Linked DNA regions of Macaca fascicularis. The protein of the gene in region 3 interacts with the protein of the main gene of each other region in a biochemical or structural test. Links are inferred from orthologs where the notes say so. Each region holds a gene or a part of one and is shown on either strand. Other genes may lie near its edges. The genes, in order: UBE2V1, RIPK2 and BIRC3.

Region 1 (3,646 bases), on a different chromosome or scaffold from region 3:
GATTAGCAAACCTATTGAGTACCCCATTTCTAGGTATTCTGGGAAGTAAGGAGGGAAGCACAGTTCTCATCCTCAAGAAACCAAAATCATTCTTAGGAAGAGAAGACATGCAGTGAAGAAGACGTCAGCATGTGATGGACCTTCAGAGACAGTAAAGAAAATTATCTCCATGGAGAAATAGGATTTCTAGATTGGGTTTTCCCCAGTATTTAGCAGACACAGAACATTCTAGTTTTCATAGAAAAAAAGGATAAAGAAGTGAGTAAAAACAGATCGAACGTATATATTTTTAAAACTCCACAAAACTACAGGGTCACAAAATGATTCAAGAAGCAACATTAAATGGTAAAGCCAATCATTCACCATGAATGTTGATGACCATCTGAGATGAGCATTAGTGTCCTAACACGTAATGAACAGTCACTTGTCCCTGTTCCAGCCGGGGCCACGCCCTGCATGTCTTTCTGCTCCCACAGTGCTAGTGCAAAGTCCTGTACACAATCAAACGAATGAACGTCGTCATCACCCTTAAACACACACAGACACAGGACAGGTCTTGCTACATTCAGGCAGAAGCTCTCACTGCTTGTCTGAAGTGTGTGTCACAGTATGGAAACTGATTTCTTGACTCCTACATCAAGTTACTACTTGATTAGTATCTTCTATAATGGTAACAGATGAAAACTCAAAATGTAAACAAAAGGGAGACACCACAGCACAGTGGTTAAGAGCACAGGCTCTGGAGTCAGATCTGATTTGGGGGTTACCAGCTATGTGACTTTGGGCAAGAGACTTGACTCCTCTGAGTCTGTCTCCTCAGCTGTAAAATGGAATGCAATTGCACCTAACAATAGGGTTTTGTGAGAGTTAAGAGACATTTCCTGAGGGTTTACTATGTGTCCTCGAAAAATGGTTGGCTGGCATTATGAAGACTGGGAACTCTCACAAATCAGGAAGTTCTGAAAGAGGCCACTTTTCCCCATCCTCATTGTCTTGGTCTTCTTTGCAAAGGCCTCTGGGTCTAGCAGTGCCTGGAATAGACCAGGAGCTGACAGGCTGGCATTAGGATACAGGTGCACGGCAGACCTGGGAGACAGTGAAGAAAAACAACAACTGGGAAGGCTTTCCAGAGTTCATTTGGAGACTAGCTTCAGGAATGCTGGCTATACCTAGGGCCTAGTTATTTGGTTAGTCCAGAGATTGTTCGGAATGACATCTGAGGGTGCAATGACCTCATACCTTACTGTCTACATTGTCATATAAATTCACACTATGAGTCTAAACAGATTTTTGCTTACCATTTAGAGGGGTTAAACAGCATCAGAGGAGGTTCAAATATATAAACTGAAACTGGTCAAAAAAGAATAGCCACATTTCAGAAAATATACCATTGGTGAGCTTTTTTTCCGTGATAAGGCTAGGATTTTTCTAAAAGGAGGCACAGTGAATTTAAGACATTGACATTTATAGCCGTAGCTCGACGCTTACTCTTGGAGGCCCAATTATCATCCCTGTCCATCTTGTAAGTGTCATGTCTTCGTCATCTTCTAGACCCCAGCTAACTGTGCCATCTCCTACTCCTTTCTGGCCTTCTTCGAGTTCTTCCAACAGTCGGAAATTGCGAGGGACTTTTACTCCTAAAATAAATGGAAAGAAATTCAAGATACCAGCAACTCCAGGGGAACTTGTAAGCCTAGAGCTAGCTGCTCATTATCGCTCCCTGGGAATAAAGATGCTAACATGCAAAAAAATCATGGGAAGTTATCACACCTCAAACTTGCCACTTATAAAGCTATCAGTATCAACCAGCACAACCAGAGGGAAGGGGCACATGGTTCTCTGACAGGTGAAGTGACTAGGGCTAGATAACCAAACTTAGATACCCCACCCCCACCCCTCGGACAAACCTTATAAGGGGCTTACATGTCTAAATGTCGATGAATTGGGGTTAACTAGTGTGAGATGAAAACCATCAATATCAAGTGCTAACAAAAGTACCTTGGAAGACAAGAGGCTGAGACTATGCTTATTTGTTGGCATGACTCTCAAACAACCTTTAGGAGGAATAGTCGCCATGGATATGGCAAATAAAAATGGTGTCCTCTTAGTCAACTAAGAGTCAATTGAAGGCACCAAGGATAAAATGTTCTATTGTTTTTCAATTATTTAAACGATAGTTTCTCTTTTAACTTACAAAAAAGGTAAAAGGGAATAGCTGGCTCTCTAATTTTTTCCCAAAAATCCCAAAGCCTGGCAAGTAGCTCTTGAAAGCAACACATGAAAACATCTCAGAGGTTCAAGACACAGTACCGGGTTCAGGCTGAGATTTGAGCCATTTCTAGATGTCTTCCAGAACAGAATATTGGCCAGACTCTCAAGAGACAAATAGGACTAACCATGTGACTGTGAAGAGAGGCTCACTTGAGGGACCCCAAATTGTGGGAGGTGTTGCCAGTATATGCATCTCCCAAAGTGTAGGACACATGCCATTAATTTAATTGGAATAAATATTTGAGCACCTATTATACATCAGGCACTTTTCTAAGCACTGAAGAACAAGCAGTGAATAAAACAAAAATGCCTGCAGCTTACATTCTAGTAGGAGACATATAATGGACAAAAATCAATATGTAAATTATACAGTATGATAGATTCTGCTGTTCTGGAGCAGGGAGTAATAGGGGAGGGGCAATACTTTCAAATGGAGTGATCGAGGAAAAGTGTTATTGCAATCAGGTGTCATAACTAAAGACTTGAAGAAGGTGACAGGGCATGATTTATGGATAGCTGAGGGGAAAGTCTTTGAGACAGAGCAAACAAGTGCAAAGGCCCTAAAACAGAGGCTTGCTTAAGGTGTCAAAGGACAGCAAGGAGGCCAATTTAGCTTAAACCAAGTGAGGGATGAGACAGCAAGAGGAGATTAAGGATGCCAACTGTTACTGCGTGACATGATCTGTCCCTCAGACTGCTGTGTGAGGACAAGAGTGAAGGGAGCAAGAGCAGAAACAGCTAGGGGGATACTGCAATAGTCCTAGCAAAAGGTAATACCGGCTTGGACCAGGGTGATAGCAGGAAAGTAGTGAGGAGCGGCGTAATTCTAGGCATTTGAGAGGTCTGAGCTGTGGAGATTTGCTATCAGGTTGCCTGTGAGGTGTGAGAAACAAGAGTCAACTACAGCTCCTGGGTTTTTGGTCCAAGCAGCTGAAAGACGGAGTTGTAGTGGTACGTTAGAGGACTTTAGGTGGTATGTGATTGAACACTTCGTTTTACAGTCATGTATTTATGTTTAAGAATAATTTATTTAGGGTAAGTAATATACTAACTTCCCATCCATAACAATGGTAAAAGTTTCCTTTAAAATAAATGTAAGCAAAAGAGTCAGTTGATTACAAAAAAATGTTAAATAATACTACATATGGTATTTGAAAGGAAACAGCAAAACCTACAAGCATACTTGAACTGTTTGTTTGGAAAACACTGGCATTTTCATCTGCACAGCAGCCAACTGGATTATTCAGCTACCCGGGACTGAGTCTTCTCTAGCAAACATAAAACTGAAAGACAGTGGTGACATTACAGGCAAAAAGTCAGACAACACAACTGTTGTTCAGAAAGGGTTCAATCTAAATCTTTAATGATCCTAATT
Region 2 (4,124 bases), on a different chromosome or scaffold from region 3:
TGGCTGCATTCTTTCTACCCTATTGCTTGATCAAAGAATATAGTTGGACAGTTCTTGAAGATAGATTTTTGGCAAGATTGAGTGAGTAGGAAATTTTTTTTAAAAGCCAAGAGATTGTAAAAATTGATTTTTATATTTTGAAAATAAAGGCGTAAAATACAGCTTCTATAGTCACATCACCAAAATTAACTCAAAAATTTAATAAAAAAGTTACGTCATCTACAGGGTATTTGAACAACCAATTGGACTCATTACTCATAAGGGGTGGGAAGATTGTTGGGGAAGGTCCACTCATCGGACAGAAGTCAGATTATGGAGACTGATTCACCAATCATTAAAATAAGGGCATGTAACATTGCATAAATTTTTCTTTCAGGTCATCCCAAAGAACAATGCAAACATTCTTCTCCATAGCCCGAGACACACATGTATTTATTATTCCTATTTTATAAGTGAGGAAAGAGACACCAGTGAGTCAACTGCATAGCCTTGTCTAATGCTCAGACTACATAAATACTGCACTGATAAGATCTTAAGTAACAAATTGGAAAAAAGAATGTGATGCAGTAATGCCAGAGTGTTTCACTGGTCTTATGGCTTCCTCGAAGACAGAATTAATTTCCTACCCAATTCAGTGAAGAATTTTAGACTATGAAAATTGTTCATGAGCATGGGAAAGAAACTCCCTCTTCACTTCTTGGTCCCCAAACTGTACAAAGCTTAGATAAACTAAAATCCTGAGAAGCAGCACCCAAAGTGGGAGGATCAATTGGCTTTTCAATACCTATTGGGTCCATCAGTGCTATATTTCCATACAGTGTTTGCATAACTGGTTCTAACATATATCCATCCTCTCTAACCAACCACCACCCTTAAAAGTTGACTACAGACACATATACACACTTGCCCAGCACTTGCGCCACAGAACATAAGGCCCAGAGTAAACAGACACCACACCTTGTATATCACTGAATCTGGATTATGATAGAAAAGAAGTGGAAACAAGCTCTAGAGGTGTCCCAGATCTCCTGTGCCATTTAGGCCATCCAAGCCTGACAGTGAGACAATGAAGAAAAGTCACAGGTAGGTGAAAATCCAGTAACTTTGGCAGGGCAGAAGCTGAGGAATCTATCTGATACTGGATACAGCTTCTGGCCAATCAGGCGTCTGTGATGACGTATTTTCACATTAGATATAGGAGGAGGAGAAGAGAATGTTGTAATCATGGATGTTAACTCACTAAGAACTGAATGCTGGGCCTAGTTAAATCCCTGTAGGAAGTAAAATACACAAGACTAGTGACCAGACCCATTGACTAATACACAGTTACAGGTCTATGGCACGTGGTTGTAATGTTCTTCTGAAAACAGAAACTAATGTTAACCTTCCCTTAAAACCTGTACAAACCAGTAAGTGAAAGCCATTTACAATTTCTGGCCATTTAACAGTCTTTTGGTTCAATTTACTGTGGCAAAAATAGCACACATTTCCTCTACTTAACGATCTTCCCGTGAGAGAAACTGAGAGTGGGAGAAACTGAATTGTATTGAGTTTGATATAAAACGTTCCTGATAACACATAATAAACCACAACCAAAACAAAAGCAATAAAAAGCAAAACATCGTAGATTCTAAAGCAGCTCTGTCCAATAAACATAGAATGTGAAATCTACCACATACAATTTAAAATTTTCTCATGGCCACATAAAGTAAAAAGAAACACATTAAAATGAATTTTAATCTTATATTTAACCCAAGATATCAAAAATATTATCATTTCAGCATATAATCAATAAACAAATATTAATAAAATATTACAAGTTTTTAAAAATAAATACTAAGCATTCGAACTCTGGTATTTTACACTTAGGTCACATTTCAATTCGGACGGGCACATTTCAAGTGCTCAGTACTCACCTGTGGCTAAGGGCTGCCTACTGGACACTGCAGCCCTACAGCCCGATTTCAAAAATAAGGAAAAAACAAAGCAAGCAAAACCCACACCCACTCCATATAAACACACACCAATTTCAATAAACCCGGCGTTTAGAGTTTGGCAGTGATTGCTGATTTTTGGAGTACGGAGAGAGAACGCTTAGGAGTAAGAGGGAAGGAGAGAAAGGGAAATGGAGAGATGCGTGGAGGAATGCAACTGCTGCATCTCCAGAGAAGTGCGTGCTCCCTACCGTGCCAGAGCTTGAAGGGTCGGTGCTCCCTACCTCCCAAGCTTGAAGGGCTGCCTAGAGGTGACGAGGTGGGGCCGGCCCCAAGCGGTCACTGCCATTTGGGCTCTAGAGCCCGCTTGTCAGGGGGCTTGAGGGGATGCAGGATAGTTGGGGGCTCTTCCCGGGAACCCCATTGGCTGCCTACCTGTCGAGCAGAGGGGTGTGGATGTGCAGGTGCTTCACGGCCACCTGGACGCGCCAGTCTGCGTGGCGGGCGGACGACACAGTGCCCGAGGCGCCGCGGCTCAGGTAGCGCAGGTCGGCGAGCTTGTGGTAGGGAATGGTGGGCAGGGCGCTGCAGATGGCCTCCCCGTTCATGGTCCCGGGCGCTCAGGCCGGTTCCAGTTGTGCCCCCTGCTGCGGCGGCTCCCAAGGCTCCCCCGCCGCGCTCGGGAGCCCAGATCCGCCCCTGCACTAGCGAGGCCGGCAAGACCCTTTTTGCCCCGCGACACTAGGTCACGAGGGCGCCCATTCCCCGGGCGGCCCACGCCAGCCGCTGCTTCTCCGAACCAGAGCTGACTTCTTTTCTAGAGACTAGTGCCAACGCCGTAGCGCCGCGAAGGAGCTTCCTCTCTCGCCGCCCCGGCCGGCCCTCCCCGGCGCGCGCCGCCACCAGCTCAGGCCGCCTGAGCTCCTCCCTCCCCAAACTTCGCAGGCTACGTCAGCTGCGGACAGCAAGGCGGGGAGAGGGGCAGCCCGCTCGCGGCCCTTCCGCCTGGCTCTCGCCTCGGCCTGCGACCGGGATCCTCCGCCCGGGTCGCGCAGCCGAGGCCGAGGGCTGGGGCGGGCGGCCGGGAAGTGGGAAAGGGAGCCAGAGGCGCTCCTTTTGTCTTCTCTTCCCATCCCCCAGGTTTGGGAAAGTTTTGCTTTTGGGAAGCCCCTCTCTTCAGCCTGCTGGCGGGTGTCGGATTGGTTAGCCGCCAACCCCCTCCCCCCACCCCTCCCCCCACCCCTCCCCCCACCCCTCCCCCCACCCCCACCCCACCCCCACCCCACCCCTCCCCTCACTCCTCCCCCACCCCCCACCCTCACCCTCACCCTCACCCTCACCCCGACCGCCAAAATTCTCTGGGCCACAGGTCTTCCGGAAGTTGCCAATCCCGGTAGCTGCAGCGTCCGGCTGGGGTCTTTCTTAGGGGGCTCGGGGTTCTGCTTTCTGACTCCCTCCCGACTCTCCGCCTGCGCAGGAAGCGATTTGGGGGTATTGTGAATTCCGAGGGCCCCACACTTAAGAGGTTGTACTCTCACCTGTCTACCTGGACTCCAATTTCCATATTTCCAGTCACTTCAGGACTGAGAGATGGATGATAAACCCTGTCATAGTGGAGCAAGTTGAGGTGTTTAACCGCTGTTATGTGGGATCTGCCTTTCTCCCTCTTCTTTCTTACTTCCGTAAGTATATATATGCAGAGAGTGAAAAATAACCTTGAGAGTGTCCATCCCTCTGACTCCAGGTAAGACTGCAAATAATTCTTTCTTATAAATCTGGGAGGAATGCAGTCAGTGTTTCATGCCAACCAAAAAAGACTGCAAACGATTTCCATCTTGCTGCTTTGAACACCTTTCTACTTAGGTGACTATTTTGTAAGATATGAGTGCAAATGTTATATACAATACCAAGTCCATACTAGATGTTTAATTAATTCTAGGGCTTCAGTAATCAGGAATGACTCGAGCAGATTTCTGCCTACAGACAGCTAATGCGTCTCGTATTTTTGCATTACCTGAAATGAAAGTAGCAATGTTAGGTTTTACAATAGTGGAAGGTTGTAAACGATAGTGTGTTAAAAATTTTTGATCATTTATAATAAAATGTTCAGCACTAAATATATGGTCTGATGCTCTGTGCTTTCTTGCTTAATACACTTTTTTTTGTTTTTTTTCTTTTCGAGAGGGAGTC
Region 3 (4,188 bases):
CTATGTTTACATTTTGTAGATTACTGACATGTACAACAGCTTTATGTTTTAATGTTAAGTTAAAAATGGGCAAGGGAATGCAGAGCTTTTTGAAATTCTTCTGGTGAGTACATAATCAAAAATGTGTAAGGCCCACAAATTATTTTCCATAATCTCAGGAGTGAGTTGAAAATGGCTTAGAAAGTCTTGATTGAAGCAGACTCAAATGTGGATTAAAGTCTCCATATGATAAATACACTTAGTCTTTCTGAAATAATTCCAACTGGAACTTCAGTTGCTATGGACAGCCAAGTCCAGCTAAACCAGAAGATGCCTCAGCTCAGTCCATTGTGTGCAGAATGCACTGGATGCTGTTTCCACAGAATGATGAAGGACCAAATAATCTTTATGGGCTCTGCCTCTGGTTGGTAACTGTCTTTGATCTACTGGAAGACAGAAAATCAGATGAGCTCTCCCAAATCCATCTCTTACCCTGGTGTGGATGGCTCTCAGATAAAGTTGCTTAAAGTTACTACTTAGATTACGTTGAGGAAAATATGGCAGTGCAGTTAGACTCGAAGATGTCAGGTTTCCCTGAGAATGGCACTGCAACTCAGACACCTGCCCTGTGAAATCAAAGGCTATAAAGGAGGGATTTTTTTAAGTAGCCAACTCCACCATACTTATTAAAAAAAAAACAACCCAAAACTCACCAAACAAAACAAAAAGTATTTCAATACAGAAAATTAATAAAGCAATTTCAATCTTTAAAATGGTAAAAATAAACTGCAAAGGAGAACTGCATGATTTTTTTCACATACCCCTACATTTCCTTTCACCTCTTACTTTCTTGATCAGAACAAAAAGTAAAAATAAATAGAAAGATTTCACAAAGTTTCGAATTTTTTTTTTTAATGCTGGACTTCTGCAGCTATAGTAGAAGATTGAAAACCCGAACCTTTTTACGTGTAAAGTGTATGGCAGATGGAGGGTGAATAGGGCATATTGACCTTTTCCAGGCAGGCTGAGCAATGACCGTCCTCTCTGTATGGGTTGTTATCAAGATTTCCTCTGGCCCACGAGCAATGAAGCAAATGTCTTTCAGTAAATGCCGCGCAGATAGGCCACGGTTAAAAGTCATGCTTTTGGGTCATGGAAATCCCCGAGCGGGTTTGCCAGGCCACTGATTAAGAGGAAGTGTCTGTGGTTATTACCCCTGGAGTTCCCCTAAGTCCTAAAAGGAAAGCACCAGTGCACATGCAAACCACTGGGAGGAGTGCGGAACGCCTGCTACGGGTAGGGGTGGGGATTTGGGTGACGCATTTAAAGGACAGCGTGAGACTCGCGCCCTCCGCACGGAACAGGCCGGGCGACAGGTGTCGCTTGAAAAGACTGGGCTTGTCCTTGCTGGTGCATGCGTCGTCGGCCTCTAGGCAGCAGGTGGGCGAGGAAGGCTGGGGTGTGCGTGCGTGTGTGTGTGTGTGTGTGTGCGCGCGGGCAGCAGGTGGGCGAGGAAGGCTGCTGTGTGCTTGTGTGTTTGTGTGTGTGCGTGCGCGCGCGCGCCTCCCCTGGGGTAAGAGGTGTGCCAGCGGGTGGCCGAGGGGTGCTCAGGGCTAGAGCGCTGCAGAGGTTGAGAGTCAGTGGGTGGGGCGCAGTTATCAAACGTCAGGGCCCAAAGGCAGGCTCTAGATAGGTTCCAGGTGCTCAATTTCTATTTTACCTTTGGAGTGAGCCAGTGGAATTGTGCAGCTGTGTCATTTTGATTCGGTTGCCAAGAGTTATCACTGGGCCTTTGCAGGTGCCAAATAAATTTCAGGACCGAGCCTAACACAGAGCTCTGGCACAGGAAGGAAGTAAAGTGTTTAATGAGCAAATGGAGGCATGTTTCCAACCTGTGGTAGGAAGACAGCAGTTTTTGGTTGTCTTCCTGGTGATCAGCATGGAAACCCAGAAGTGCTCTTACTCTGATCAATACAGTGTCGAAGGCATGTACCTGATGCTAACGTAACAATAATATTAACTATTGACTTTATTTGCTATTATGTATTGCTAACATTAAGTACTGCTACCTGCTATATGCTAGGTTTCTCTCTGAAGAATTTACATGTATTTTTCACGTTTAATTATCATAATCTTAAGGAGCAGAATTATCTCCATTTGACAGTGAGGAAACTGAGGCTCTTGGAGATTTACTTGTGCAACGTCATGCTTCTGGTTACCGGGCTGCTTGGTACTGAGCACCCCAGATGTCTGACTCCAAAGCCTGATCCTAATCAATCACTGAGTAGACTCTGTGGTCATTAATGTAAAATTGATAGAAGTACTGTGGTCACTCGGGGCTTAGTCACATTTGCTAACATTTATTTCTTCAACGGGAAGTCTTTGTGTCTACCCTGTATGCCAAGCTCTGCAGATGCTATGAGTGGGAGGGCAGGTACAGAGATGAAACATATTAATAGCTGCGGTTCTAAAATACCTTACTGTCTAGGGGGAGGCAGAAAGAAAAGGCACACTTGCCCTCCAGTGTCATAGAAATGGATGTGCCGCGTGCCCAAAGGGTAGGGATGCCCAACAGCCCTGGGATTGGGGAGGTTGCTTTCTTGGTAGGTTAAATGGAAGAGTCAGAAGACGAAAGGTTGGGGACTGAGCCAATCTGAGAAGGAGCCACTAGAAATGAAAGAAGAATCCCAAGAGCTTGGTATCAGAGAAGCCCAGGGAATGGGACATTTCTAAGAGGAAGTGTGCCCCAATGTCAGATGCAAACATTTCCATTTGTTTTGGCAAAAAAACCATTGGTGTTATTAATACTGAGAGCAGTTTTAAGTGATGCTGACTTAATGAGTAAATGGGAGAGGGAAAATGGAGACATTAACCGTACACACATGTCCAGTTTGCTTGGCTATGAAGGGAAGGGGCGATACAGGGTAGTTGCTACAGTGGGAAGTGGGGTTGAAAGGGGATTTTTTTTTTTTTTTTTTTTAGACAGAGTCTCACTGTGTCACCCAGGCTGGAGTACAGTGGCGCAGTCTCAGCTCACTGCAACCTCTGCCTCCTGGGTTCAAGCGATTCTCCTTCCTCAGCCTCCCAAGTAGTTGGTAGTAAAGGTGCACGCCACCATGCCTGGCTAATTTTTTGCATTTCTTTTTAGTAGAGATGGGGTTTCACCGTGTTAGCCAGGATGGCCTTGATCTCCTGACCTTGTGATCCACCCGCCTCAGCCTCCTGAAGCGCTGGCATTACAGGCATGAGCCACCGCACCTGGCCGAAAGAGAATTTTAAAAATTTCTTTCATTTGAGAGTTGAGATAGATTTAAGCATGGTTGTTATGTGGAAGGAAAAGGGCCAGTTGAGAGTGAGAGGAATGAGAGTTGAAGCAATGAGGGAGATGGGATTAAGAACAAGATTTCTGAGGCAGTAGGAGAGTTTAGGATCCCATAAGGGGGCAAGTCTTTAACTGAGGCAGCAAGTAGGTTGTGAGCCAAAAAGACTTGGATATGAGAATGTGAGGCGGTTCCTGCTCAATGATATCTCTTTTCTTTGAGAAATAGAAGGCAAAGCAATGGACTGAAAATGAGATGGAGTGCAGTGGAGAAATCTGAGGAAGGTGTTGAAGGTTTAGAAGGGTGCATAGGGCAGTGGGCTAGGGGGCTGAGCAGGGCGAAAAGGAATTGCTAAGGGGTGGCAAAGGAGTCTTAAGTGATGCTGGTCCCAGTCTGCAGGGCTGCATCTAGGTGTTGGAAATTGTTAGGACAGAGGCTGAAGTGATCTGGGGTTGACATCTTGGCATATTTTTGTATATTTATTGTATAGTTGTTGCCTGAATTTCCACAAATATATACCTTGCTGGAGTGCAGTGGCATGATCTTGGCTCACTGCAACCTCCACCTTCTGGGTTCAAGTGATTCTCCTACCTCAGTCTCCTGAGTAGCTGGAACTACAGGTGCGTGCCACCACACCTGACGAATTTTTTTTGTATTTTTAGTAGAGATAGGGTTTCACCATGTTGGCCAGCCTGGTCTCAAACTCCTGATCTCAAGTCATCTGCTTGCCTTGGCCTCCCAAAGTGCTGGGATTACAGGCATGAGCCACCACGCCTGACCTAAAGCTTCTTTAGGATAAGATTTGTGTAAGGGGTTTGCAAACTCAAATGGAGGTGATATAAATGAGAAAAACTCTGAGTCTCTCTTTTTCTTTTTTCTTTCTTTCTTT

Evidence for each region.
Region 1: the proteins of BIRC3 (region 3) and UBE2V1 form a complex in vitro, tested with the Homo sapiens proteins (2 studies listed by BioGRID). The link is inferred for Macaca fascicularis from reciprocal best matches to the Homo sapiens genes BIRC3 and UBE2V1.
Region 2: the proteins of BIRC3 (region 3) and RIPK2 form a complex in vitro, tested with the Homo sapiens proteins (2 studies listed by BioGRID, with this or other methods). The link is inferred for Macaca fascicularis from reciprocal best matches to the Homo sapiens genes BIRC3 and RIPK2.

What each region holds. Positions count from the first base shown.
Region 1 is NC_088384.1:106,186,028-106,189,673, forward strand, and holds part of UBE2V1 (ubiquitin-conjugating enzyme E2 variant 1), read right to left. Parts: intron 3,555-3,646; exon of another isoform or gene 3,447-3,554; intron 1,638-3,446; coding exon 1,489-1,637; exon of another isoform or gene 1,302-1,488; coding exon of another isoform or gene 1,299-1,301; intron 1,087-1,298; coding exon of another isoform or gene 1,063-1,086; exon of another isoform or gene 264-1,062; intron 1-263. UniProt on the Homo sapiens protein: Has no ubiquitin ligase activity on its own. The UBE2V1-UBE2N heterodimer catalyzes the synthesis of non-canonical poly-ubiquitin chains that are linked through Lys-63.
Region 2 is NC_088382.1:99,457,590-99,461,713, reverse strand, and holds the start of RIPK2 (receptor-interacting serine/threonine-protein kinase 2), read right to left. Parts: upstream 2,853-4,124; 5' UTR 2,543-2,852; coding exon 2,370-2,542; intron 1-2,369.
Region 3 is NC_088388.1:101,326,790-101,330,977, forward strand, and holds the start of BIRC3 (baculoviral IAP repeat-containing protein 3), read left to right. Parts: upstream 1-1,332; 5' UTR 1,333-1,419; intron 1,420-4,188. UniProt on the Homo sapiens protein: Multi-functional protein which regulates not only caspases and apoptosis, but also modulates inflammatory signaling and immunity, mitogenic kinase signaling and cell proliferation, as well as cell invasion and metastasis.